5 linked regions of the Danio rerio genome follow. The protein of the gene in region 1 interacts with the protein of each later gene in a pairwise test. Links are inferred from orthologs where the notes say so. Each region holds a gene or a part of one and is shown in the gene's direction. Other genes may lie near its edges.

Evidence for each region.
Region 2: the proteins of trip6 (region 1) and mettl17 interact in binary tests that used the Homo sapiens proteins (3 or more experiments, as listed by UniProt). The link is inferred for Danio rerio from reciprocal best matches to the Homo sapiens genes TRIP6 and METTL17.
Region 3: the proteins of trip6 (region 1) and ppp1r16a interact in binary tests that used the Homo sapiens proteins (3 or more experiments, as listed by UniProt). The two-hybrid records come from large-scale screens. The link is inferred for Danio rerio from reciprocal best matches to the Homo sapiens genes TRIP6 and PPP1R16A.
Region 4: the proteins of trip6 (region 1) and hoxa1a interact in a two-hybrid assay, tested with the Homo sapiens proteins (2 studies listed by BioGRID and IntAct). The two-hybrid records come from large-scale screens. The link is inferred for Danio rerio from reciprocal best matches to the Homo sapiens genes TRIP6 and HOXA1.
Region 5: the proteins of trip6 (region 1) and abi2a interact in binary tests that used the Homo sapiens proteins (3 or more experiments, as listed by UniProt). The link is inferred for Danio rerio from reciprocal best matches to the Homo sapiens genes TRIP6 and ABI2.

The regions. Positions count from the first base shown.
Region 1 is NC_133182.1:19,978,058-19,982,625, reverse strand, and holds part of trip6 (thyroid receptor-interacting protein 6), read left to right. Parts: exon of another isoform or gene 1-305; intron 306-359; exon of another isoform or gene 360-496; intron 497-4,027; 5' UTR 4,028-4,036; coding exon 4,037-4,241; intron 4,242-4,568. UniProt on the Homo sapiens protein: Relays signals from the cell surface to the nucleus to weaken adherens junction and promote actin cytoskeleton reorganization and cell invasiveness. Involved in lysophosphatidic acid-induced cell adhesion and migration.
Region 2 is NC_133177.1:40,857,328-40,862,608, reverse strand, and holds the start of mettl17 (ribosome assembly protein METTL17, mitochondrial), read left to right. Parts: upstream 1-1,881; 5' UTR 1,882-1,995; coding exon 1,996-2,073; exon of another isoform or gene 2,074-2,492; coding exon of another isoform or gene 2,493-2,498; intron 2,499-4,244; coding exon 4,245-4,383; intron 4,384-4,484; coding exon 4,485-4,634; intron 4,635-5,281. Other genes in the region: parp2 (poly [ADP-ribose] polymerase 2), read right to left, coding at 477-650, 731-934, 1,400-1,472. UniProt on the Homo sapiens protein: Mitochondrial ribosome (mitoribosome) assembly factor. Binds at the interface of the head and body domains of the mitochondrial small ribosomal subunit (mt-SSU), occluding the mRNA channel and preventing compaction of the head domain towards the body.
Region 3 is NC_133187.1:14,314,096-14,319,459, forward strand, and holds the start of ppp1r16a (protein phosphatase 1 regulatory subunit 16A), read left to right. Parts: upstream 1-2,074; 5' UTR 2,075-2,155; intron 2,156-2,302; 5' UTR 2,303-2,456; intron 2,457-5,364. UniProt on the Homo sapiens protein: Inhibits protein phosphatase 1 activity toward phosphorylase, myosin light chain and myosin substrates.
Region 4 is NC_133194.1:22,043,835-22,047,999, forward strand, and holds hoxa1a (homeobox protein Hox-A1a), read left to right. Parts: upstream 1-1,872; 5' UTR 1,873-1,968; coding exon 1,969-2,608; intron 2,609-2,803; coding exon 2,804-3,153; 3' UTR 3,154-3,175; downstream 3,176-4,165. UniProt on the Homo sapiens protein: Sequence-specific transcription factor. Regulates multiple developmental processes including brainstem, inner and outer ear, abducens nerve and cardiovascular development and morphogenesis as well as cognition and behavior.
Region 5 is NC_133184.1:13,942,368-13,946,935, forward strand, and holds the end of abi2a (abl interactor 2a), read left to right. Parts: intron 1-2,172; coding exon 2,173-2,346; intron 2,347-3,777; coding exon 3,778-3,953; downstream 3,954-4,568. UniProt on the Homo sapiens protein: Regulator of actin cytoskeleton dynamics underlying cell motility and adhesion. Functions as a component of the WAVE complex, which activates actin nucleating machinery Arp2/3 to drive lamellipodia formation.

The DNA.
Region 1 (4,568 bases):
AATGAAATCGAAAGAGAACTAAAAAGTAGCTCAGAAGTGTAATGGGTCGGATATAAACCGAAAGCGAGCACGTTTTGCTGACAGTGTTTGCGATAGTGTTTCTTTAAGAAGAAGAAAAAATCTCGCATAAATCAGCCGACGCGACTTGCAGTATTCGCATTATCAACAGTCAAATAAACAATGTAAACTCTGGATGTAACGTTAACTTACTCTCCAAAAACTGAACGGTCTGTAGTGCACGACTGCATGGGCTTTAATGTTTATAGGCGTGTTTGTAATATTTAACAGTTGAATTGATATATTAAGTAAGTACAGGAGGCTTGAATAATGTATTGAACTGAACTTTTTAACTGATACAGACAGACGGACGCTGCCCGCCGGTCATTTCATGAGGCATGAGCTGATGGAAAATATCGCTGATTTCATTTTGCAGATGAAAACGAGCCGAGACGAGGCAGATGTTCTGTAGGCTTGGAGTCTGCAGCGTTTTCAAAAGGTAACGTTACGGGAAATTGTTAATGTCCTATTGTTTAAATAACCCACAGAACACACCGGACGTCAGTAACCATAGATGAGCAGAAATCCGCGAGCGTCACGTTCATGTGTCGCGCGCTTCTGTCAAGCACTGCAACGAATCACAACCTAAAGCAGACTGCAATTCATTTATTTTAAGATTTAAAAAATGGAGTCATACGGGAGATACATCGGCCTAACAAGCCACGGCTTTGAGTTCGAGCTTTCACTGGTTGTAGTGCAATGCAAGACGGTCATATTGGATGTTTATGTGGTTAAGAAACTTGTTTAGATGTTGTTCAGTGTAATTATTATAGATCAATGTAGACGTGAGAGCTGAATCAATGTTAAGATAGCATTGATGGTTAACTGCTCATTACCTGGCTATTTGCTTGTGTAAAACCATCTTCTAACATCAACAAACATACAGCACGCTACAAGTTATACTAAGGTGGTCAAACTGTTTTTGGGGGCAATTTAACTGGTCAACCAACATTACCAAGCTGTTTTCCTAAATACAGTAGTCAACATTCGAAGCGAATCAAAAATGTTTTTCAAAATTGTCCTAGGACAAGAATGGCTGTTGTTCAATAGTTTTAGGAAATCTTTGATGAAAGGTTATGATCCTCTTCAAATGTTGACTACTGTAGTTCAGCCCAATTGAAGATTTACTCTTCTTCAAGTGGTTCCAACCCTTTATGAGTTTCATTTTTCTGTTGAACACAAAAGAAAAAACTTGAAGGCATGCATGTTAGAAACCTGTAGCCATTTACTTTCATAATAGGAAGGTTACACATTTTCAGTATTTTTCAAAACAGCTTATTTTGTGTTTAACAAAAAAGTACATATAAGGGGTGCGAATTACAGGGGCTTTAGGGAGATATGACCCCCCTAATTACCACTTTATCCCCCCTGAAGGATGTCAGAACAAGATGTATGGGGGGGTCAGTTGTTTAATACTGAGAAATATTTCACTCTGATCTGTATTTTAAATAATATTAATTATTAAAATAATAGATAATATAAATAAAACATTTGACCACCGCTATAACGGTAAAAAAATTGTTAATGCATATTTGCGCCAATCAGTCAATGCGAGAACAAAGTCTGAAAGAGGCAGATCTAGAGCTCCAATAGACATCATGTTCACAAGACTTGTTCTCGTAAAATGGGTGTTTACATATTTAGCCTGAAAAATATGTAGTTTGTAGTTTAACCTACAGTAACATCTGAAATCGCAAATTAGAGAATACTGCAGGTCAGAATACACTAAATGTCCCTCAAAATGCTGAAAACCTAAATCTTTTAGTTTTTATTAATAAACTAGATGAAATTAAAAAAAGAAATGCATAAATAAGTGAAGCATGTATACACAAACTAACTGAAACAGCTGACCCTCCTGATTGTCAATATATAGTCCAAGAGTTCACAGTATATATATATATATATATATATATATATATATATATATATTATATATATATATATATATATATATATATATATATATATATATATAATATCGCAATATATATCGCAGGGGAAAAAATATCGCAATGTCAATTTTTTCCAATATCGTGCAGCCCTAGTTCACACTTAGCTGATGATTAATTATAAAGCTAGTTTGGCATGCTGTCCTGGGGGAGAGCCATGAGCTCAAAAGATCGTCAAGTCCGGGGCTCCCTCCTGTTTGCAAGGCGAGAGGGGAGTTTGAGCTCAGGTTGATCTCGAGAACTCCCCTGCTGTAGAAGCTAATGAACAGATAGTGATTGCTCTTAAGAGATAACTACTTACTAGGAGCATGTCTATAATGCTGATTTGGATTAGTCAATTAACTTAAGTTGTGTTTTTGGACGGTGGGACGAACTCTGGGAACCTGGGGGTAAACCCACGTGAGCATGGAGAGAACATGTAAACTCCGCACTGAAACGTCGACTGGCTTGGTAAGGACTACAACCAAAGATGTTCTTGCTGTGAGGCAACAGTGCTAACCACTGGGCCACCGTGTCAGCCATCTAGGAAAGGAGGAGGAGTAGGGGTGGAAGGGGGGATCCTCAAAAACAAAGGTGGCTGTGATATGGAACTTAGGGTATTTTATAGTGGCTTAGGAATTATCTGATTGGTGAATCATAAATTGGATAATGAGGGACCAGCCGCAAGCAATCATAAGCATGCGATCCTCTCGAAATTAGTTTATAAAAAAACTCCACTTCGCATACTGTATATGTATCTATACTGTATTTACTCCGTCTCAAACAGGTTTGTGACAAGTGAAGGGTGAGTAAAAGATGACAGAATTTTCAGTTTTTGGTGAACTGTCCCTTTATTCTGGCTTTTCAAGTACAATTTCAAAAGACTTCTTCGTTATGTAATGCTTTACAAAATACTGTTGTTGGTGATTTGGTTGTGCTAGACTACTTTCGACCATTAACAAACAAACCATATTGAGGTGAAGTTGGTTTTATATTAACACAATTGTCCAGTGACAACTTGTGACATGCTCCCTATATAGTTTACCATGCCACTTTGAATATTCGGCCTGAAACACATGTAAGTATGATTTGAAAATAACATTAGCACTATTTATTTGACTGTAAACAATGTTTTACTTTGAGATCATTTGTGTTAATATAATTTCCCTATTTAGAATTTGCAAAAGATGTTTTTGTGAAATTAAATTATTCAGAGGAAAGTGCAAATGTGTGAAAATAAAACCAACTTTACCTCAATACGAACCAGCTACTAGTTAGTTCTACTAATGTGGCTAAACTCTATATTTGGGCATGTTAACTGCTCAACCAGCAGATTACTAGACAGCCATCTTAAGCTAGATTCTCAGAGGACTTGTTTGTTTTCTAATACTTTTGTAAAATACTATTGTGTTTACAGCATCTTATATTGTTGTGAGGTTTGTTTTCATAAGCTTATAATAACAAGCACTCGTCAGCACTTGGATACACAAGCACATTGTCTGGCGAACACCTGATGGCACAAATGAAAAGTTGTATATTACACAACACTTCCTATCTTATTTTCATGGACAGGCTCTGTAGATAAAGTATTGTGGATTAAGTGTTGTGGACAATGCCTATTGTACCTATGGGAGACTCGAGAGCGGAACGAATACATTGCAAATGTTGTGCACCTGTGGGAATTGTATGTTTGTTTTGTATGTGTGTGAGAGAGAGAGAAATGCTGTTTGACTGAGGAACCCTGGAATTCCCCTTTCGGCTGAGAATGGTTCCCTTTTCCTGCTTTTTAACTTGGTGCCTATTGTTATCATGGAAACCATGCGTTGCCACTGGAGACAAAGCATAAAGCATCAGTCTGTTTTGTGTAGTTACAGTTATGCATTTTATACAAGCTTGGGCAGCACTTCTATAGAGCCTGAACTCTTAGGGATTGTTGTGTTATACATTACATCTAATCATATTTAAAATACTCAAATAAGTGACTTTAAACCTACAAAGTTTCACAATGGTGCCATGGTTTATATTGTGTGTTGTTCTTGTAGAAGTCTGATATGTCTGGTCCCACCTGGCTGCCTCCAAGGACCCTGGGTAGCCCAGACAGAGACACAGCACCAATGTCACACTCTGGCCCCGCTCTCTACAGACCTCCAAAGAAAGGCCTGCCCGAGCAGAGGCCCAAATATAACATGTATGACCAGAATGGTGGAACGGGAGGAAATGGCATGCCCATTAGATATATGGCTACTGGACCTTCAGGTAAGAACTGCTAAACTTGTTGTTTAAACGTCATGTTGATCCCTATGTACTGTTACTTTTTTTTAAAAATTAAATTCATTTTTTACTCTATTTTTATTTTTATTTTTTTTTATACATTTCATTTTAATGTTTAAATTAAATCCTAGTGATAAAAAACTTGTCAGATTAGTTTAAATCCTAAAACTAGAAAGCTGGAATAATTTATCTTGAGCTAATCTCATTTTCTGTAAATGAATGCTCTGAATGATAATATTCTTCATTTTAAAATTAGTGAAGACAGAATATCAGTATTTTATAAATGAAAACAGAAATGAACATTTATTCAAA
Region 2 (5,281 bases), on another chromosome or scaffold:
CGGTGCTAGTGGTTGCACGGTCTTTCATCTGGTTTTATGCTTGAACAACTTAGTGAATGCTGAAGTCTATTTAACTGAATGTATTGTAATTACATTACAACATCGATGCTGTAAAAACAACCTTGTGAAATTGAAAAAACATTAAAGATTATTGTTGGCTGTAAAGCTCTACCTGTGCATGGAGCCCATTACCTCAGATTGTTTTTTGCCAAGACACTATTCACTGTTTTCTGTTAAACAATTCATTATATTCACATATAGAAAGTACTCATCTGGTGTGTGATAAGTCAACTTTGTAATATTCAGTTTGGACTAAAATATAGATCATTCCCTGATTTTCAATGTCTGGAATGAACCTTTTAAAAATCCCTGACATTGCAGAAATTTCATGACCTCTGGGAACCCTGTTTAAGGGGCATACTTTCATTTTGACTGAAGAAGAGAGATTGCTAAAATTAATTCGAGGGAAGCATCACCTTCACATTCTTCTTTTACCACAGGTTTGTCTTTGTTCGCTTTCTGACTCCTCCCTTCATTGCGTCTCTTCTTGGAAACGGGCTGCTCCTCTTCCTCCTCTTTTTCTTCTTTAATCTGAACAACACCTGTTGCTTTTTTATTACCATTCAAAGCATTCCCTTCATTCAGATCTTCTGCAATAAAACAAATCAGCTGCTGTTAGTTTCCTGACCCAGAGGCTTATTCAGTCACATACAGAAGCACGCAGACGTACCTGACTTCACTTTCTGAAGGCGTATTTTTCGTTTGTACTTGCTGACAGTATTAGTCTGAGTCATTTTCACAAGATCCACTACGTAACCAGGTCCGAGCGCAAGCGAAACAGACTTTTCACCAGCCTGCTTTGCTGCATCCAGCTGTTCGCAGACCTCTGAAGGATACGGTTCCCATTCATCTTCATCCCCTTTCCACTGCCAAACTAAAAACATTCATAGTTCATAATCATTCATAATGTAAAAATATGCAAATCTGAAATGAAAACAGTGCAAACATATTATTTATTAATGTTTTAATGGCTTATCAGCAACACTGGCTATATTCATGGCAACATCGGTAATACATATTCACTACTTAATATACAAATAGGTTTCTTGATAAACAAACAAACAAAAAAACACACAAAAAACAAACAAAACACACAGTCAATGATTCTACATATTAAAATTCTTCCAGGGGACTGTCACATCTATAAACTCAAAGTGATTTAATGGTTAAAACAGTCATGCTGGGGTGGCTGTGGTGTACATTTATATATATATATATATTTACTTGGAAAAGCAGTCAATGTAAATGTGCAGAGCTTCAGTGTATGACAAAAAGTCTTAAAATGCTGATTGTGTAACTTTGGGTTGTTTTGGCATGTTCAGAGAAAGCGAATTCATACCCGTCTTCGCCTCTGAAGCTTCACTGCCTGAATCTGCCACAGACTTGTCCCTGCAACTCCTTGTTCGTCGCATGTTCCCGGAAAACAGCTAAAATTAGGAGAAAACGTCAAAAGAGGAAACGTTTCCGGTGTATCACACGTTAGCAGTGAAGGTATGGGTGTGACGTAAAATTCCTAGTTATGTAGTTAGGAGGTGGTGAATTATGACATGAGTCACCATAGTGATGTATTCACTTCCTAATAACGTAAGTTAACGTTAGCCCGGAGTCTTGCGGCAAAACACGTTTCGGAGAACAAAATATAGGATAACATTACGCTTTATCCCGCTAAAATGTAAATAATGATAAGATTAAAATAGTTTTCAACACTTACCTCAGATCACAGAGCACAACTGGGGCGTTTTAAATGGCGCGAAAAGTATAACAGAGCGGACTCCTGTCTAGGAACGAATTGACCGATTTGTTTCTACACGGATTTATTTTGAAGTCGGTAAAACGACTGCTTGAGCATGCGTCCGTACACCGATGTTACCATGTTGTGTTGTCTTTAAAGTAGAATTTCATTTGTACGCAGGTTTTAATAAACGAGAATAAAGCATGCATTTACTGGGAAGTCGAGTGTTTGTGAAATGTTCAAGGTGCCATGTGGCTTTGTCTTTGAAAGAAGCGATCCGGGTGAGTAATATGTCAGTCAAACTTCCATGTCATTCTTAGTAATAAATGATGTGAAAAGAGCGGAGGGAGAGTAGTCTGAATTGGGTTCTAGCATGTTATGCTAGCTCACACATCGCACTCATTCGCCAGCCGCGAGTGTTTCCAAGTCTGCGCGCGTCATTCAGTTGATCCGCTGAATGTGTGCGAGCATCAACGTCTGCTGCGAGAGTCGCGCGCGTGACCCGATTTTCTGTGCACTCGCTCATCATTCAGATGATGTCCTGCTAGGTCAGCGAGGAGCTCCTGTCTCAGACCTTCCCCGAGGTGTTGGCGAGTGACGAGCACTCAGTAAGTGACCTCTACAGTGAGCTTCCTTTCGCTGAAGATTCAAGTGAGGATAGTCTGATATATATAGGGCGTGATCAGGGCTATTCGTTTCGATGATGGTGAGAAATATACTAATAATTTATTTAGTTTGTTAATCATTTGTAATTAATATATTTGTGTGACCTTAATTATTACCTGAGAAAATGTTTTTTGTCAACTAAATGTATTGTATGAATGGTTTAAACACTATCAAATGTTTTGAGAACGAGAATGTGTTCATTGCTCTGCAGTGATTGGTTAAATTTGTGATTGGTAATGAATGTGGCCTGGCTACTTGATGATAAATGCCAGGCATAATTGCTACCCAATAAATACCAAATTTGTCAAATTTAATAACAATATTTCCCATACATACTCATTTTGTACTCAATATGATGAAACACTAAGTCATTTATTTTGGGAGTGGATTTACTGTAAAGTGTTTTGGGTTGACTTCCAATTACATCAAAAGAAATTCTTATTTCAAAACTTTTATATTTCCCCAAAAATATTTCTAGTATTTCTAGTATTCTAGTATTCTTTCTATTCCTACTCTCTGAACTTAGATCCCTCTTATTGTAAATGTATTATTTATTATCTCATGATTTATTTATTTTTTTTGGCAAAATTTTACATCCACAAATTTACATTTTCTAAGAAACACCCTGTTTAATTTTAGAAAGGATTTATTTGTAAACTCTGTGAAATACTCTAATAATTATATTGCCAGTAAAACTCTTAGTGTAAATCATTTTAACTTGCTTAATTTGCTGGAATTTTATTTATGTAACCGTTTTTGTCTCTTTGTTCATATTGTATCTTTGTAAATTTTCTTCCTTGCATGATAAAAAAAGATAATGGCAGGCATATCTATAAAAGCACTTTCTTTAAAGCAGTTAGAAACACTAATTTAAGCACTGCTATTGCTCTTTTCCTAAAAGAGCAGTTGTAGTGAAAAGTTTTTTTATGTAAAGTTAAAACTTTACATAAAATTTATAGTAAAATGAAAACTAATGAAAGTATGAATAAAACCATATTTCTTTACAAATGATACTAATAATCTTTAATGACAAAATATGTAAGATCTTTATTTAATTTCACTAGAAAAGTGTTATATTTTTTGCTGACTTTTACACTTACAGTATTTCCAGTGTTTTGAGGAATGTTCAACTCATTCTAAAAATAAGCAATTTTAACTAGTGACACATGCTAATGACATCATTCACCCTCGATTTTCAGTCGTTTTATAATTTAACTCAATTCATCTTTATTTCTATAGCGCTTTTACAGTGTAGATTGTGTCAAAGCAGCTTTCTAGTGAATTGAAACAGTGTCAGTCCAGTTTTCATTGTTGAAGTTTAGTTTAGTTCAGTTCAGTGTGGTTTAATTTTCACTGCTGAGAGTTCAAACACTGAAGAGCAAATCCATCGATGCCCAACTCCACAGGTCCCGAACCATGCAAGCCAGTGGCGACAGCAGCAAGGAAAAAACTTCACCTATAGAAAAACACCAAAGATGCTTAATATGCCTTGCATTTTATTAGACTGCACATAGTAGCAATATAACAGAATCATAAAATGTATTTAATATATAAAATGTATATACTCATCCTTGTTTCTTATTTAACACAAAAAAGATAATTTGAAGAATGTTGAAACCCGGTACCCATTAACTTCCATATAAGGAACAACAAATGCTATAGCCAGAACTACCTGGCTGTAATTCTGCCAAAAAGATACCCTTCAACCACTAACCATTATTCAAAAAAAATTATCAGAATTATGTGATACTGAATAAGTCAAATGTGCTTCTCATTGTCTTGAAAGTGTCAGAGTTCCGCAGCACCTCTGGAACAGGCCGACTACCTGAATGGCGCTCCTCACAGAAAACACCCGGGTGTTACAAACCTGAAAACAGTGCAACTGCCAGAGCAACTGCAGCTAGCAGCACAGTCCATCTTACAGAGTGAGGAACCAATGATCTGCCAGCCTCAGTATTAAAGATTATGTTTTCTGAATTGACATGCTAAAGTAGTGTGTTTTATATGCTTTTTATTTGATATGTAGGGGCCGATGTAAAAAGTCTGACGGAAAGGGCACAAAAACTCTCTAACTTCCTTTGGAGCAGGAAGCGGGTGATAGAATCTTCACAGCTCAGGGAGAAAGCCATCATTCTGGAGAGGAAATTTTTGGAGGAAGAGAGAAATGTCAGTGAAAGTGAGTTATTGATAAAAGACAAAATGGAGAAATGTCAACACTGTGGTTTAAAGGAACACTGCATTTATTTTTGGAAATAGGCTCATTTTTACAAGTCTCCTAGAGATTGACAGCTTTACCATTTTTAAATCCATTCAGCTGAACTCCAGGTATATTGGGAGCATATTTAGCTTAGCATAAGTCATTGAATCAGATTAGACCATTGGCATCTTGCACAAAAATTAAAAAAAATGATAAATTTGATAAATTTTCTATTTAAAGCTTGACTCTTCTGTAGTTACATTGTGTTCTAAGACTGACAGAAAAAAAGTATTCCAGCATTATAATCAAGGAACTTTGCTGCAGGATCAATAATATTATGCAGCACCTAAACAAGTTCCCATCTAGGTTACTACAGAATATTTAAGCTTTAAATAGGAAAATAACCCCTGTGATTTTTTTTAGCAAGATGCTAATGGTCTTATCCGACTGAATGATTTATGCTAAGCTAAGCTACACTTAAATACTAAAAGGGCTCCCGCCAGACATGTAGATTGGCTGAATGAATTCAAAAAGGGTAAAACTTGAATATTTAACTCTAGGTTAATTATAAAATGTGCTTATTTCCAAAAAAAAAAAAAGGTGGAGCGTTCCTTTAAACAGTGCTT
Region 3 (5,364 bases), on another chromosome or scaffold:
TACATGGAGGTAATCTTCTATTGATAATTTCTGGATTTTAATTATGCGTAAGTTGCATAAAACTATTGTTTAATCACTCACTGTTGTTTTCAAATTACTTATGTAACTTGTCTTTCAGAATGTTTTCAGCTGTTGAATTCACCTCAGATCAGTGTTGCTGTAATTCCTGATGGAAAGAAGAATTGAATGAGGTAAGAAGTATACTATTCTATTTACTATTAAATGTAGTTATGTTACCTAAAACCGCATGTCCATAATGTGGAAAATAGATCATGCTTATGAAAAATTACTTTATTATTTTGTACAGCTGTTATTGAAATGACACTAAGTTTAACATTTCATTAACAGCGAGCAACGCCACAACTACAGGACCTCTTCTCATAATTTACAGTAAGTATTCGGAGACTAACTCTGACTTCTGTTAACTCAAACCTGTTTTCCCTGTATCTCTAAATTTATTTAATTGTTTGTAATTTTGGTATATGATATATTATTAAAACATTAAAATAAAGTAGGCTACATAATTACTCTGGAGATTTTATATGTAATGAAATTACAATAAATGTCTGAAACTTCAATAACTTGCTAGTCATAGTCATTTCCTGTGTAGTGCTGTTGTGTCAAGCTCTGATCTGTCCTCTCTTGTTCACTGCCTATTTTGACTTTTGTCTGCTGTGGATCTCTGAAGCTGGATTATCCGTTGAATTTGTTTCTTCCTCTGACTGCTTTCTCCATACCAACAACTACGACTGGTCTTCAGCTGCGCTCCCCGGTCTGCTGTATTCTCCAGTCCAGAGCTTCACTGCCCAGTGTTTGAATTTTAATTTATATATTTATTTATATATTTATTTACCTTTTAATGATTTCTTGTTTACTTTTCTTGTTTGTTTACCCTTTAGTTTAATTATATATATATATATATATATATATATATATATATATATATATATATATATATATATATATATAAACTTTATTTTATACTGTTTGCTTATAATTAGATACTGTATGTGTACTGTATTTATTAAATGTTGTGAAATATATAATAAAAAGTTTGATATTCATTTGTGTGGCATTTTTACACTTTAAAGTTTACACATGCAGTTTTTAAATTAAATAGGAAAAATAAATGAACAATATTTCATATTAAGCAATACTGGAAAAGAATTGCTGCTTATCCTGTATTCTAGGCAGTAATGATAAACTGCCACAAAAAAATATCAATACAAGTAGTAAGAACGCCGCCTCGCGGTTGCTGAATGTCGCACGACAACGTTGCTACAGCCTTCTCACGTCTTACATTTCTACGTTGTGACAATGTAGCGAGCACGTAAGCGGCAACGTTGCCTTTGAAAAAATACAACGTTGTGCAGACATCGCTACAACGTAAATGTGTTTGTTGGGCGACCCTCATGATGTTTAAATGGCAACCTTATGACATCGTTGTGACAACCTTTAGCAACAACGTAGAATCCTCAACCTTTTTGCAATGTTGATACAACGTTGTAGGAAGGTCGCTACGTTGAGGCAACGTTGTGTGTTTGTTGGGAATTTTTGTTATGTTTATTTAAACGTTTCAATCTCTTCTGCATTGCTGTCTTCTGAGCGCATGCTATTTGATATGTAATTCACAACATGAAGAAAATGATTTTTTTCTCTTTTTCTTTTATTTGATCAAGCCATACAAAATAAAACGAACATATACAGTCAAGGCCGAAATTATTCATACATACCCATGTGTATGAGTAATGAATATGAAGGGAATTTCTCCTTGTCTTCTTCATAGACATGAATTAGTTGTTATAGTAACAACGCCCCCATGTTGTGTACATGAGACACAACGCAACGCTTGATCTTAGAACGCCTTTATTAAGAACTTTACAACACAAGACAATAGTTTTGTTTAAACAATGTGGATGCAAATGCTTACTGTCTGGCATGGTCATGGAATTCTCCACAGGGATCTATCGATATAAATTAATTTAACGAATAGTGTATCAATAATTAAAGTCGAACATAATTGGTTAAACCTGACAAGCGCAGAGAAAAGTAACAGACACCACGTTGCAACGCTGTCAATTGCCATTTGCCACTTTGGAGGTCTGGGAAAGAGGTTACACCTGAAAAATTAACACTGGTAACTTTAGAAATTGAGGTGAAAATATATAGTAAAATGTGAAAAAATAACGTTTTTTTTCAGACCAAACCGGTCACTTAAAAAACTATTATTGCCCTTTAGCCGCATATTCTCCATTTGTGTTTCTGTGGCGATTCTCAGTGTGGTGTGTTTGTGTGAGAGTAGCGCCGACTGTCGGGATGCATCGAGCAAGTGGACGGACCGAAGGGCGCAGCGGATGTTATGGAGAGTAATATATTTCCCGTAAAAGCTGACGAAGGGGATTGAAGCGCCGTTAAACAACCATGAATGCACAGACTGATTTCAGCTGAAGCAACAGGTAAGACAAAAGCGTTGAATGTGACGTGTCAAACAGGTGTTTAAATGACAGGTGTGTGTTCAGGTGCGTTGACAGGCCATTGACAGTGTTACATACAGTAACATCAACGCTAAAACAGCTTTATTATGGAAGGACGGATTCAGCACAGTGTTATGTTAATGTTTGAAGCAGTTTTGGATCGGTGATACTTTTTGTATGCGGATTATTGAAAAGTTGAAGTGAACTCTGGACTTCAGGCAGGTTAGCATTATGCTAGTAAACAGGAAATAGAGTATTTCAAATAATATTTTTTGGCATGTTCTATTGTAATACTAAGCTTTTGACATGGTACAATTGCGTCATCATGTTTTGCTTAACACTTTATATATCAAAGTACTACGTAAATATCATAGTACCGTATTGTTATGGAATGCTATTCTTGATTCGAATCACGTTTCATGAGTTTTCGATTAAATAAAATGTTCAAATGTTGGTGACGGTTCACTTTTATTATCATAATGCATGAGTTTGAATAATATTTATTAATTAATTAAAATGTAATGTTTATTATAATTATGCAATATAATGTATAGTTCGAGTGAAATAGCTGAGGAACAGGGAAAGGAACAATATTTGAGATTGTTTACTGCTTAAAAAGTAATTTGTACATTACTGCCCCAACAGTGATTATACATAAATATAGCAATTAACAAGCTTAATGCTTCTTTAAGCTTTAGTCACTGTGCCTGCCCACATTTTAGTTTTATGCTAGTTTTGAAACCACACAAACGCGCACACACCTACACACATTTAATTAATTAAAAATAATGGTTAAATGTTGCCAACAAGTGGACGGTCAGTTATTATGAATAATAATGAATACATAATAAAATAATCACGAGTAGGCATGAGTTGATATCCAGTTTTAAAACCGCTAAACTTTTCTGTCATACTGTTCATATAGTATACGTATATTGTTCTTTTTATTGAATATTTTATTTAGTTTTTAGAGCAACAGTATCTCCAGCAGAAAAAGACCCTCCACATTAAAATGTACTGGTCAACCAACGATTCAGAAAACATCTGAAAAACGAACTGCTTATGCAGTAACATCCAAGCATGCTGGCCTGAACAGTGCAGCGGCTTACTTTTTTATCCAAAAAAAGAGAAAAGATTCAAAGATGCCTTTTCAAGTTGTAAAGAAATCTGTGTTTTTAAAACCAATAAAGACAGCAGAAGTCTCTTTCAGCAGAAGTGTTTCTTAAAATTACATTTTAGGGATGTCCTGATCAGGTTTTTTTTGCCCTTAATCTGAGTCTGAGTAATTTGATTTTTACTATCTACCGATAACCAAACCCGATGCGATACGTCTATAATACATAAAAACTAAAAAAAAAGAATAAAAAAGAGCAAAGAAACAGATCCAGAATGTTCCTTATTTTTTTGAATAATTTACCTTATTTTACCATTCAACAACTCTGTTAACAAACAGAGCACTTCTGTGAGGTTGCTTGAATAATCAAGCGATAAACAACATATATTTTTTACTTTTGGACTTAAATGCAACAGTAAATATAAAAAAGCTAATATAAAAACAAATAGCACCTCAACTTAAAATGCCTGGCAGGCAATCACAAGTAGGCATGGGCCGGTATAAGATTCTGAGTGTATGATAACCTTGGAAAAAAAAAATCACGGTTTCAATGTTTTATGGTATTCTGCTGTCTTCATTTGTTTTAAAAAACACAGAGTTCTTTCAACTTGAAAAGGCTGTTTGAATATTGTTTCTGCTGAAGATACTGTTGTCCTAAAAAACTTAAAATGAAATGTAAAAAAAAAAGAAAAAAAAACTTGCATATACCGTAGGAACGGTATAGCAGAACATTTTGGCGGTTTTAAAACCTTGACTTTTACAAACCACGGTATACCTTGAAAATGATTATCGTCCCATACCTATTCCCAAGTTTAAAAATCTCATAGTTTGCTATGGCAATGTTGTTGTCCTTAACTTTATAATACCTCCAGACTGCAGACATACTCACGTTTTCCGCTTCAAGCTACTTCCATGTTCTACTCTGCCAGCATTTGACCAATAGTGTCTCTGCAACAAGGTGATGTCATGCCGCATGCGTTGCTGTTTCTGTGTGAAATCAAGAAAGAGGTTTAACTCTGTGCCACTGCATAACTATAGATGTTAAAAACAATGAGAATATATATATATATATATATATATATATATATATATATATATATATATATATATATATATATTATAATATAATGTCTATTATAATTATAATGTCTGATTCCAGTGGAGTCTAAAACCGCATGATCAGGCCCGATTTCCGATCATGTGATCTGGACATCCCTATTAAATATGTTGGGTTCAATAATTTTTACCCACTCTATAATCACAATACTCTGTTACCATAAAACCATGATATTTTTATTCAATGTTTTCATACTAACAGAATCTTGTACCGGCCCATGCCTAATCACATACAGTAGGAAAAACATTTCTTTAGCATTATTATTCAGATGAGCAGCGAATTTTTTTTTTCTTTTCGATAATGCATATTGTACGATTTCATAATCTATATTTTGTAGCTTATGAAATGTTTGTTTTGTGTTTTTACAATCTTTTATTTCATTGTTGTACTGTTTTGCTTGCCTTGTATTGCTAGTATTTTGCCTTGTAGCACTTTGAGTTTAAGAAAAGCGCATTACAAATAAAATTGGTTATTATTATTATTATTATTATTATTATTATTATTATTATTATTATTATTATTATTATTATTATTATTATTATTATTATCATCATTTACCATTGACTGAGGTTACATGAATGCCTTTCCAAGACACCCTTTTTAATCAATACTGGGTAATTATGCTGTACTTAGGTTAATGGGCTTTTACACTGTTGTGC
Region 4 (4,165 bases), on another chromosome or scaffold:
AAACAATTTAAAGTATGAAGAAAAGTCATAAACAATGTGTAAAGTTAGCTAAGCTTTTATAGTTTGTGTTAAAAGATATAAACGCTGATTTTATGTAATTACGGTTGATGGAAAAAAAAACAGGAAACATAATTTTGGAGAATACTAAAATATAAAAAGCAACCTATTTCTTTCAATTTATGAAAAATTGTGAGCTGCGGAATTACTAAAACTGTACAATTAATCCTAATACATTTGTTATCACTCAAACTCCTAAAACTTTTCAAATGTTGCAATTTATGAAGCAAAACTGTTCAAACGTGTCTCCTTCGCCAAAGTTGGGCTCTTTGTCTCGTACTCTTTTCTCTGCATCGTCAGGAAATACCGAGGAGGATGTTTCTTTTCATGAAACGAACTCATAAATCAAAGTCTTCTAGAAAAGCTGACAGCATCCAGACAATCAGTGTCTGTGAAAATCTGCCCAAATACGTATTTCATTCACCGCTTATCAATATAACGATTTTGGATTCAGCGCAACCCACGTGGACGGATAATAATAATTAATCTTTTTATTGGCGTTTTACACCCCGTCATTAGGATTACACAAAACACTCATACAACATATTTCACTGCACGTCCTCCCCAATTTGTCTTAGTCTTTTTGCTTTTTGTCCTGATTGAAATAACGTTACAAATGTTTATAATGTCTTTATTGAAGATGTTTTAAAATGCTTTTTTTCGTATGAATAAACAAATATTTAATCAACTACAATAGTTTTTATTTTTAGATATTTTTCCCCACATCTAACAGAGTGAACATTTGGCCACTAAGTGGTTCTACAGTTTTTATAAACTATGACTCCATTTCATTTAAGTACATTACACTTTATATTTATGCTGTTATTTTTTCTTGCCTTATTTGTCAGGCTTGTTGCTGTAAAAAAAATAGTGGCATAAGAAATACTAGGCCGTAGTAAGCTTGTGTAAAGCGCCATTTTGAAAAAAGAAAAAAGGTATAAAAATGTCCAATTTCCTCCAGAGGGGGCGCGTGTCTCCTCTGCTCCACATAGGATTGTGGATAAAATACATCGTCTTCCCTGTGATTATTGATCAGTCTGTGAATACTAATCACAAAATAGCATTCAGCAAAAACAGAAATCCCGCTAATGTATTTATTTCAACATGTAAGTTCTTAGTTCCAAGTAAGTTCCAAGTCCTTAGTTCCTTGCTGCTTAATGTTGACAGTTAGCATACATAGACATAGGCTAAATAGCTTATAGCAGTAATAAATATACAGTGGGCTACAGCCAATGTTTTTATCAAGTAGCTAAGCCTAACGTATTAAAAAACAACAAATATAACTGTGCTGGCTACACCGAAAAAATAACAATACGATGAGTGGTAGTCAGTTTATCATTTTTATACACTTACTAAGTTGACGAAAGCCGATACACTAGAGCCTATAGCTGATAGGATATTGCTACCCGAATTGTGAACCAGAAAAAGATACTAACTTTACATAATTTCTTTGTGGTTTTGAGATCATCTTACCTGAAGCATTTCTTTAAAAAAAATCCACACACCGAGAAGCTGATGCTGCCGGGACGCTGTCTGTGAGACAACGTCCCTCTTAGCGTATCTGCCAGCGAATCTATCCTTTCAGCAGAAGTAAAGGTGGGCCTACGTAACGTTGATGGACAAGAGGTCGGCATTTGCATAAGCCTGGTCTTTAACGACAACCTGTCAGTGCAAGGCCACTTAAGATCAAGATGAGACAGCACAACTGATCACTGGCTGACCCAGCCCACGTGACTGTCACTGGTCATTCATATCACTAGCGCCCGAACACCTCCAATCCACGACTGATTGAAGGAGGCAGAAGGGTGCCTCGGCTCAACCCAGGGTGAATGGTGCGACGTTAATCAGTTCCGGGCCCAAAGTTCTGTCAGTGTGGCAACCACGAGCTGAGACGCCCAAGAAGATGACACAATGAGCACATTCTTAGATTTTTCGTCCATAAGTGGTGGTGGAGATGGAGGTAGCGGGGGCTCGTGCTCAGTCAGGGCGTTCCACGGTGATCACGGACTTTCAACATTCCAATCGTCGTGTGCTGTTAGGTTAAATAGCTGCAGTGGAGATGAACGGTTCATGTCCAATATATCGTCACAAGATGTAATTAACTCTCAGCCACAACAGGCCGGCTCGTACCAGTCCCCCGGGACTTTGTCAATTACCTACAGCGCCCATCCAAGTTATGGAACTCAAAGTTTTTGCACTGGATACAATCACTATGCCCTAAATCAGGACGTGGAATCGTCTGTGAGCTTTCCCCAGTGTGGCCCGTTAGTTTACTCTGGAAATATTTCTTCCACTGTTGTGCAGCACCGTCATCATCGTCATGGTTACAGTAGCGGAAACGTTCACCTCCATGGCCAGTTCCAGTACGGCTCAGCCACATATGGTAATAGTTCGGATCAGGCAAACCTTACGTTTGTGGCGGGCTGCTCAAATCCGCTTTCCCCTCTGCATGTGCCTCATCATGATGCTTGTTGTTCACCTCTATCAGATGGCGTGCCCACGGGACAGACATTTGACTGGATGAAGGTTAAACGCAACCCGCCAAAAACAGGTGAGTGACTTAAATTTTACAAGTCGTAATTATTTTTTCTCCCGATACGGAATACAAGTCCTGACTTAATATTGCATGTCCAACACTGGTTACATAAACATCTGAAGAAACCTAAGATATGGGACTTGACATAACAATATAGCCTAGTATGCATACACACATTCATTTATTCTTCTTTTCATTCTCTCTCTTAAGGAAAAGCTGGGGAGTATGGATTTGGTGGGCAGCCAAACACTGTACGCACCAATTTTTCGACAAAACAGCTGACAGAGCTTGAAAAGGAGTTTCATTTCAATAAGTACTTGACTCGCGCAAGGCGCGTGGAGATCGCGGCTTCTCTCCAATTGAATGAGACTCAGGTGAAGATATGGTTTCAAAATCGCCGTATGAAACAAAAGAAGCGCGAAAAGGAAGGTCTTTTGCCGAAATCTTTGTCCGAACAGAAAGATGGTCTCGAAAAAACAGAGGATGCATCTGAAAAGTCGCCCTCTGCACCATCCACGCCCTCTCCTTCACCAACTGTTGAGGCATACTCCTCTAATTAAACAGCTTTCACATTTGTTCTTTCAAATTGTAAACAATAATGCAAAATTGTTTGTGACTTGTCTTATGGTTATTTGTACATCATGTTTTAACATAAGTGGAAGAGTGTTTTAGCGACCAACCGTTTCTAACTCGACCATTTTGATCACTCATTGTTTATCTGTGCACTATTTATGTTAATGTGAAATAACTGTTAATTGTCTTGGGCACTTTGTCAAGCACCTGGATAGAAAGAAGTGGCTTGTGCATTTTTGTGCACAGTAATAACAAATGCTGCACTTTTACGCGCGTCTTAGTTTGAACTTGTAAACCACTTGTCAAAATGTCTACCTCAAGAACCGAAGGAAATAGTGCAATATATTTAGGGGATGCATTACTAGTGAATCTGTTAAATCTTTCGGGAAATAGTGTCTGTAATTGACAAATTCTCTGGACGATGCAAAGTGTTGTTAATTCTTGTGTTGTGAGTTTTGCAGCATACGCAATTGTCTGAAGTTGTTCTCCGGTGATGCTGAGTTTTATCAGTCGGAATTAAAGTTTCCTTTAATTTAGAAATGCGTTAGAAAAAGATCAAGATACGGGTGAAATCATGTGATAATTAAAATGTATCTTATAAGTACAATTTATTCAAATACTGTATTACTTTTGATGGTTCTAATGTCTGTCAACCCTCACAGAAACAACTAACTCTAAAACACTGCTGACAATCTGTCTTAAAAATTTAAACCAGCAATCTAAGCACTATTATTTAATATTTAAATATACATTTTGTGGAATGAACTGTTAAGTTTGATTTATCGATTGCTTGTTTGCAGTCTTAAATCCACCAATAACTAGCTCTCTGCCTCCGTAACTGATATATGCGTCCGCGTGTGGTTCTTTCCTCAGGGACGAAGTGATATTGGCACATTAAGCATGTTTATCCACGATAGAAGATGCGCAATGCTGTCACCGTTATTCGCGGTGACAACCCTATTGACCTGTTAGTTTATCGAAGAGAAACAAAAAACATGA
Region 5 (4,568 bases), on another chromosome or scaffold:
AGTTTTTCTCAGTCGCTTTGGTGCGTTTCTCACAACACTAGTGCATTTTTGCACAACATTTAATGATTTTTTCAAAACATCTAGTACAAACTGCAAAACCTAGCTGATAACCTGCAAAAGCGCATCACATGCTCAAAATGGATAGTTCATTTCTCAAAAGCAAGTATTGATGTCAATCAAAGTGTCAGTGTCATCAAAATGAAAAGTCCTGCCAGCATTGTTTATGAACAAGATAGTCAAATGTCTTTGTCATGTTTTCATTATGACAGTTTATTCTCTACATTTTTTCAATGCAAAAAAAGTCTGTAGCACAGTATACTATTATGTATACTATTAGCACAGCCATTTGAAAACTACAGTAAAGTTAGACATCACTGCATTTAGTGAGGTATCTAAGTACAAGACACTGAATATCTATGTTTCACATTTTTACTGCATTTGCTCTTTGCAATCCTAATTTATTCCTAGCATTGTGCAAAAGAATAAACACACCCTCATTTACAACAAACATAAACTCCCTTTAGGTAGAGCTGTGCACAACTGTAAACAATATTGCAGTACATATTGGAACTGAGCCTACAACATACACAGGTCTGTAAATCATTCATCAAATTGTTCAAATTTAAAAACATTTTAAGGAAAATAAAGATTTTAATTTGTTTAAAAAAATTTTTGCTTGACAGATTCTGACAACTAGTTCAACATTTTTGTATGTAATGACTTAAGTAATGAAACGAGGACTATTAGTTTTATATAGAATGACTATTCAGCATTTACAAGTTTAGTTCATTTTGACTGACATGACATAAGCAGATGATAATGTTATAAACAGCAGAGAGTTGTATGAAAGCAATTGATGCATGTCCTAAAGCATTTGCAATTTGTTGAAAAGAATGAGAAACTGCTACTAGGATGTGCACAAATGACTAATTGTTTTGAGGAATGCATTACCTGTTGTGCAAATGTAAATAGTGTAGCGAGAAATGCACCAAAGCGACTGAGAAAAACTGTAAACAACCTTTAGGCATTTGTTCTTGTTGCTAGGAAATGCGTGCGCGCATGCACACACACACACACACACGCTCGCAGGACAGCGCAGCCTGAGCGACTCCCTTCAGACTCAACAGGCATGATCATGTTCATAAAATTTGCTTAAACTAAGCGTTCTAAAGTATGACTGTATTTCACAAGGATTCTGACACAACAATGTGAAGCAGACGCATTACAAAATTTGTGTATAAGGGTGAAACACGTCAAACTTAATGACACATTTGAGGACTCATGCTGAAAGGCAGAGGAATGTGCTGTCTTTGACAGCTCACAACATCATCTATTACTTTCTGAGTACATTTACATGGACACCAATACTCCGATTTTAATATGATTAAGATTATACTCTTATTAAGAGTCTACCATGTAAACAGCGATTTTTAATTACCTTAAAGGACCACTGAGTAACGAAATGCAGAGGTTTTTCTTTCTGTTCGGCATGCGATATCAAATTCCATTAAAACAACATCAAAATATTAAAATTGAATCATACGAAATTAGATGAAATTCTGGAGGAAACACTGGATAACCCAATGTGACATTAATTGTTTTCTACTGAAACTTTCCATCAAAAAGTGCTTCCTTGGTCTTATCCATATTTCTTTGTATGTTGAACACATGTCGACTACAACAGAAAAAAAAACTGCAATTGTGTGAATTTTTTTAACACGTTACATATTTCAAATTAATTGCATGCGTTAACACACTAATTTTGACAGCACTAATACACACACACACACACACACACACACACACATTCTCAAAACTTTACATACCTCTTGAAGAATTTGTTTAAATGTGAATTATTTGAACAAAATATGAGAATGTTATTTAGTACTGTCCTGAATAAGATATTTGACGTAAAATATGTTCACACATAGTTCACAACACAAACATCTAGCTGAAATTATTAAAATAGTTTGTACACATATATACACTTTTACATTAGCATGCATGTGTATGTTTGTCTCAGAATGTTACCAGTGAAAGTTTCAACTCTATTCGTTCACAGCAAATCATCATAGTTTACCTCATTTGCTTTCTGCATGGATCCATGAGTTTGCATGGCCTGCCCTTTAGCAGGAGTCCTGGTCGTCTGCTCATTTCTCAACTTTCTCTCAGTTACAGATGCGCCTCCTCCATCTCCTCCATCAGAAGAGCCCATGTTTGACGACACACAAAATCCGGCTGCTCCTCCAGAAGGCTATGAGGAAGAGGAGTCTTCTGTGGTGGAGTACAGTGACCCTTATGCTGAGGAAGACCCACCATGGGCTCCACAAACATACCTGGAAAAAGGCAAGTTTGAAGATTTAGGTTAAATGCAATTTTGGTTGTTACTTAAACATTTAAAGGAGTAAGTCAGTGGTTTAACTGTTGTCTTAGTTTATGAATCCTTTTTCATGTTGCACTTTCTGCTCATTTTCACACATATGGATCTTTTACTACTAAACACTATGATTTTTTTTTTTTTTAAATCATCATCACCCCATTACAATTTAAGTAGATCACACACCTTTAAAATATGCCATTATTATGGTATGCAATCATAATTTTGATTCTTAATATTTATCAATGTATTTACTTTTTTAGCAAGTTTTATTTGATTTTGATAAGAGTCTTCTCTTATTTCTAAGATTATTCATTCATTCATACTTTCATTTTCTTTTCAGCTTAGTCCCTTTATTAATCTGGGGTCAGGATATTAGGCCCTGTTATCACTGCCAGTAAAATGCGACCCAATTTTAGTTTTTTTTCCTCAAATGCGACAGATCGGATCAGTTCTATGACTGAGTAAACACAAAAAAGCGCATGCATTCGGATATTCAGAGATTGGTTTCAGGCTTCCTTCATATGTGAAAATAAATCAGGTATGTGACAATGTGACTATCATGTAAACAGGCTGATCAGATTTATTGAAGAATTTCTGTTTGTAAATCATTAAACTTGTGACAATGTGGTATTTGTTCATGGTTTATTGACGTAGAAGGAAGAGCGTGTGTGCTCATTTCAGACCCACTTCTCCTCATTAAAGCCCGCAACAATTTGCTCCCACCAGACCTGAGCTCTCTTGTACCCACAAATTCCTCTAAATGGTGGAGGACACCATATATAAACCATAGGCACAAGTTGCGATAACGACCCTATCTTTCCTTAAAATCATTATAAAGTTGGGTGAACTTTGCATATTTCGCAGAGCTAAAAGCAAAAAAATTTCTTGTATCGTGGCTAGTTTGGCACAGATGCTGGAACCTGCCTTTACGTATGCGCAATATCGTAAATTGTAAGGCAAGTGTAAACACATGAATTGCATACGGGTCACAATTAAAAGAACGTGTAAACAGACAGGTAACAAAATCAGATATAGGCAACAAATGATGCTCGGGATTGAGCATCAAGACCTGACAGTGTACACTTGACCTTAGTCTCATTATTTTTTAACTGACCAATCAATAAGAGACTATTGATACATTTTCATTTTAATAAAACAATATTGATTTGTAAATCCAAAGATCAGAATCTTTGATTCTAGTCTAGTTGATTGAAGTCTAGTCTGTTTTAGTTTCTGTATCAAATAAAAAATATAATGTTAAACTGAACAAAGCCACAATTGGTTCATTACAAAGCTAACTTCTAATTTCTGTTTTAAATTTTTCTTCATCTGCACTTGAATTATGAGCAGACACTCAGAATAATATTACTATTATTTTTCATTTTTCTTTGTTTCAGTGGTGGCAATCTACGACTACGTACGGGATAAGGAAGATGAGTTGTCTTTCCAGGAGGGAGCCATCATCTATGTGATTAAAAAGAATGACGACGGCTGGTATGAAGGCGTGATGAGCGGCACTACGGGACTTTTTCCTGGAAACTACGTGGAGTCCATCATGCACTACACAGAGTGAGCGTGTCCTCTGTCCCACACCAGCGCTGATCTGCAGAAAAGTGCAGAAGTGCAAACAAACCATGCTAATAACAGGCCGTGTTCAGAGACAAGTGCTACAATGGAAGAGGAAGCAATATGAAGCTGAACATCCAGACTTTGCACAGACGACGTTTAGGGAAATGTTAGAAATAACAAGTTTACCTTTAAATGAAGGATGAGGAGTTTGAAGTTGGATATGCATAAGCTAGATTTGGAGTGGCTATATTTTTCCACATTTGCTCATTCCACAGAATTTGGAGGGCTGTGCTGGGGCTGACAGATTATTTGTGGGGGGTGATGGGTAAAGATGTGTTTATGATGCCGTTTACATTCTGGTCACTTTTGAAAATGGGAAATCTTTTCTTTGAATTGAATAGAACAGGTTTATATGTAGAAGTTGCTTTCTATTTATTACATGTTGTGACAGCGTAAGGTTTTAAAACGACATGTTGAGACAGCTCTGTAAAGTGTTTTGATTGTTCAAAAATGTTTGATTTATATCTTTATTCTAGAGTCTGTTTCAGCTAGTTTGAAGAAACAGCAAGTGGATGTGACTGAGACCAAAGTGCTCGAGACTGATGGTGTCTGACCTGTG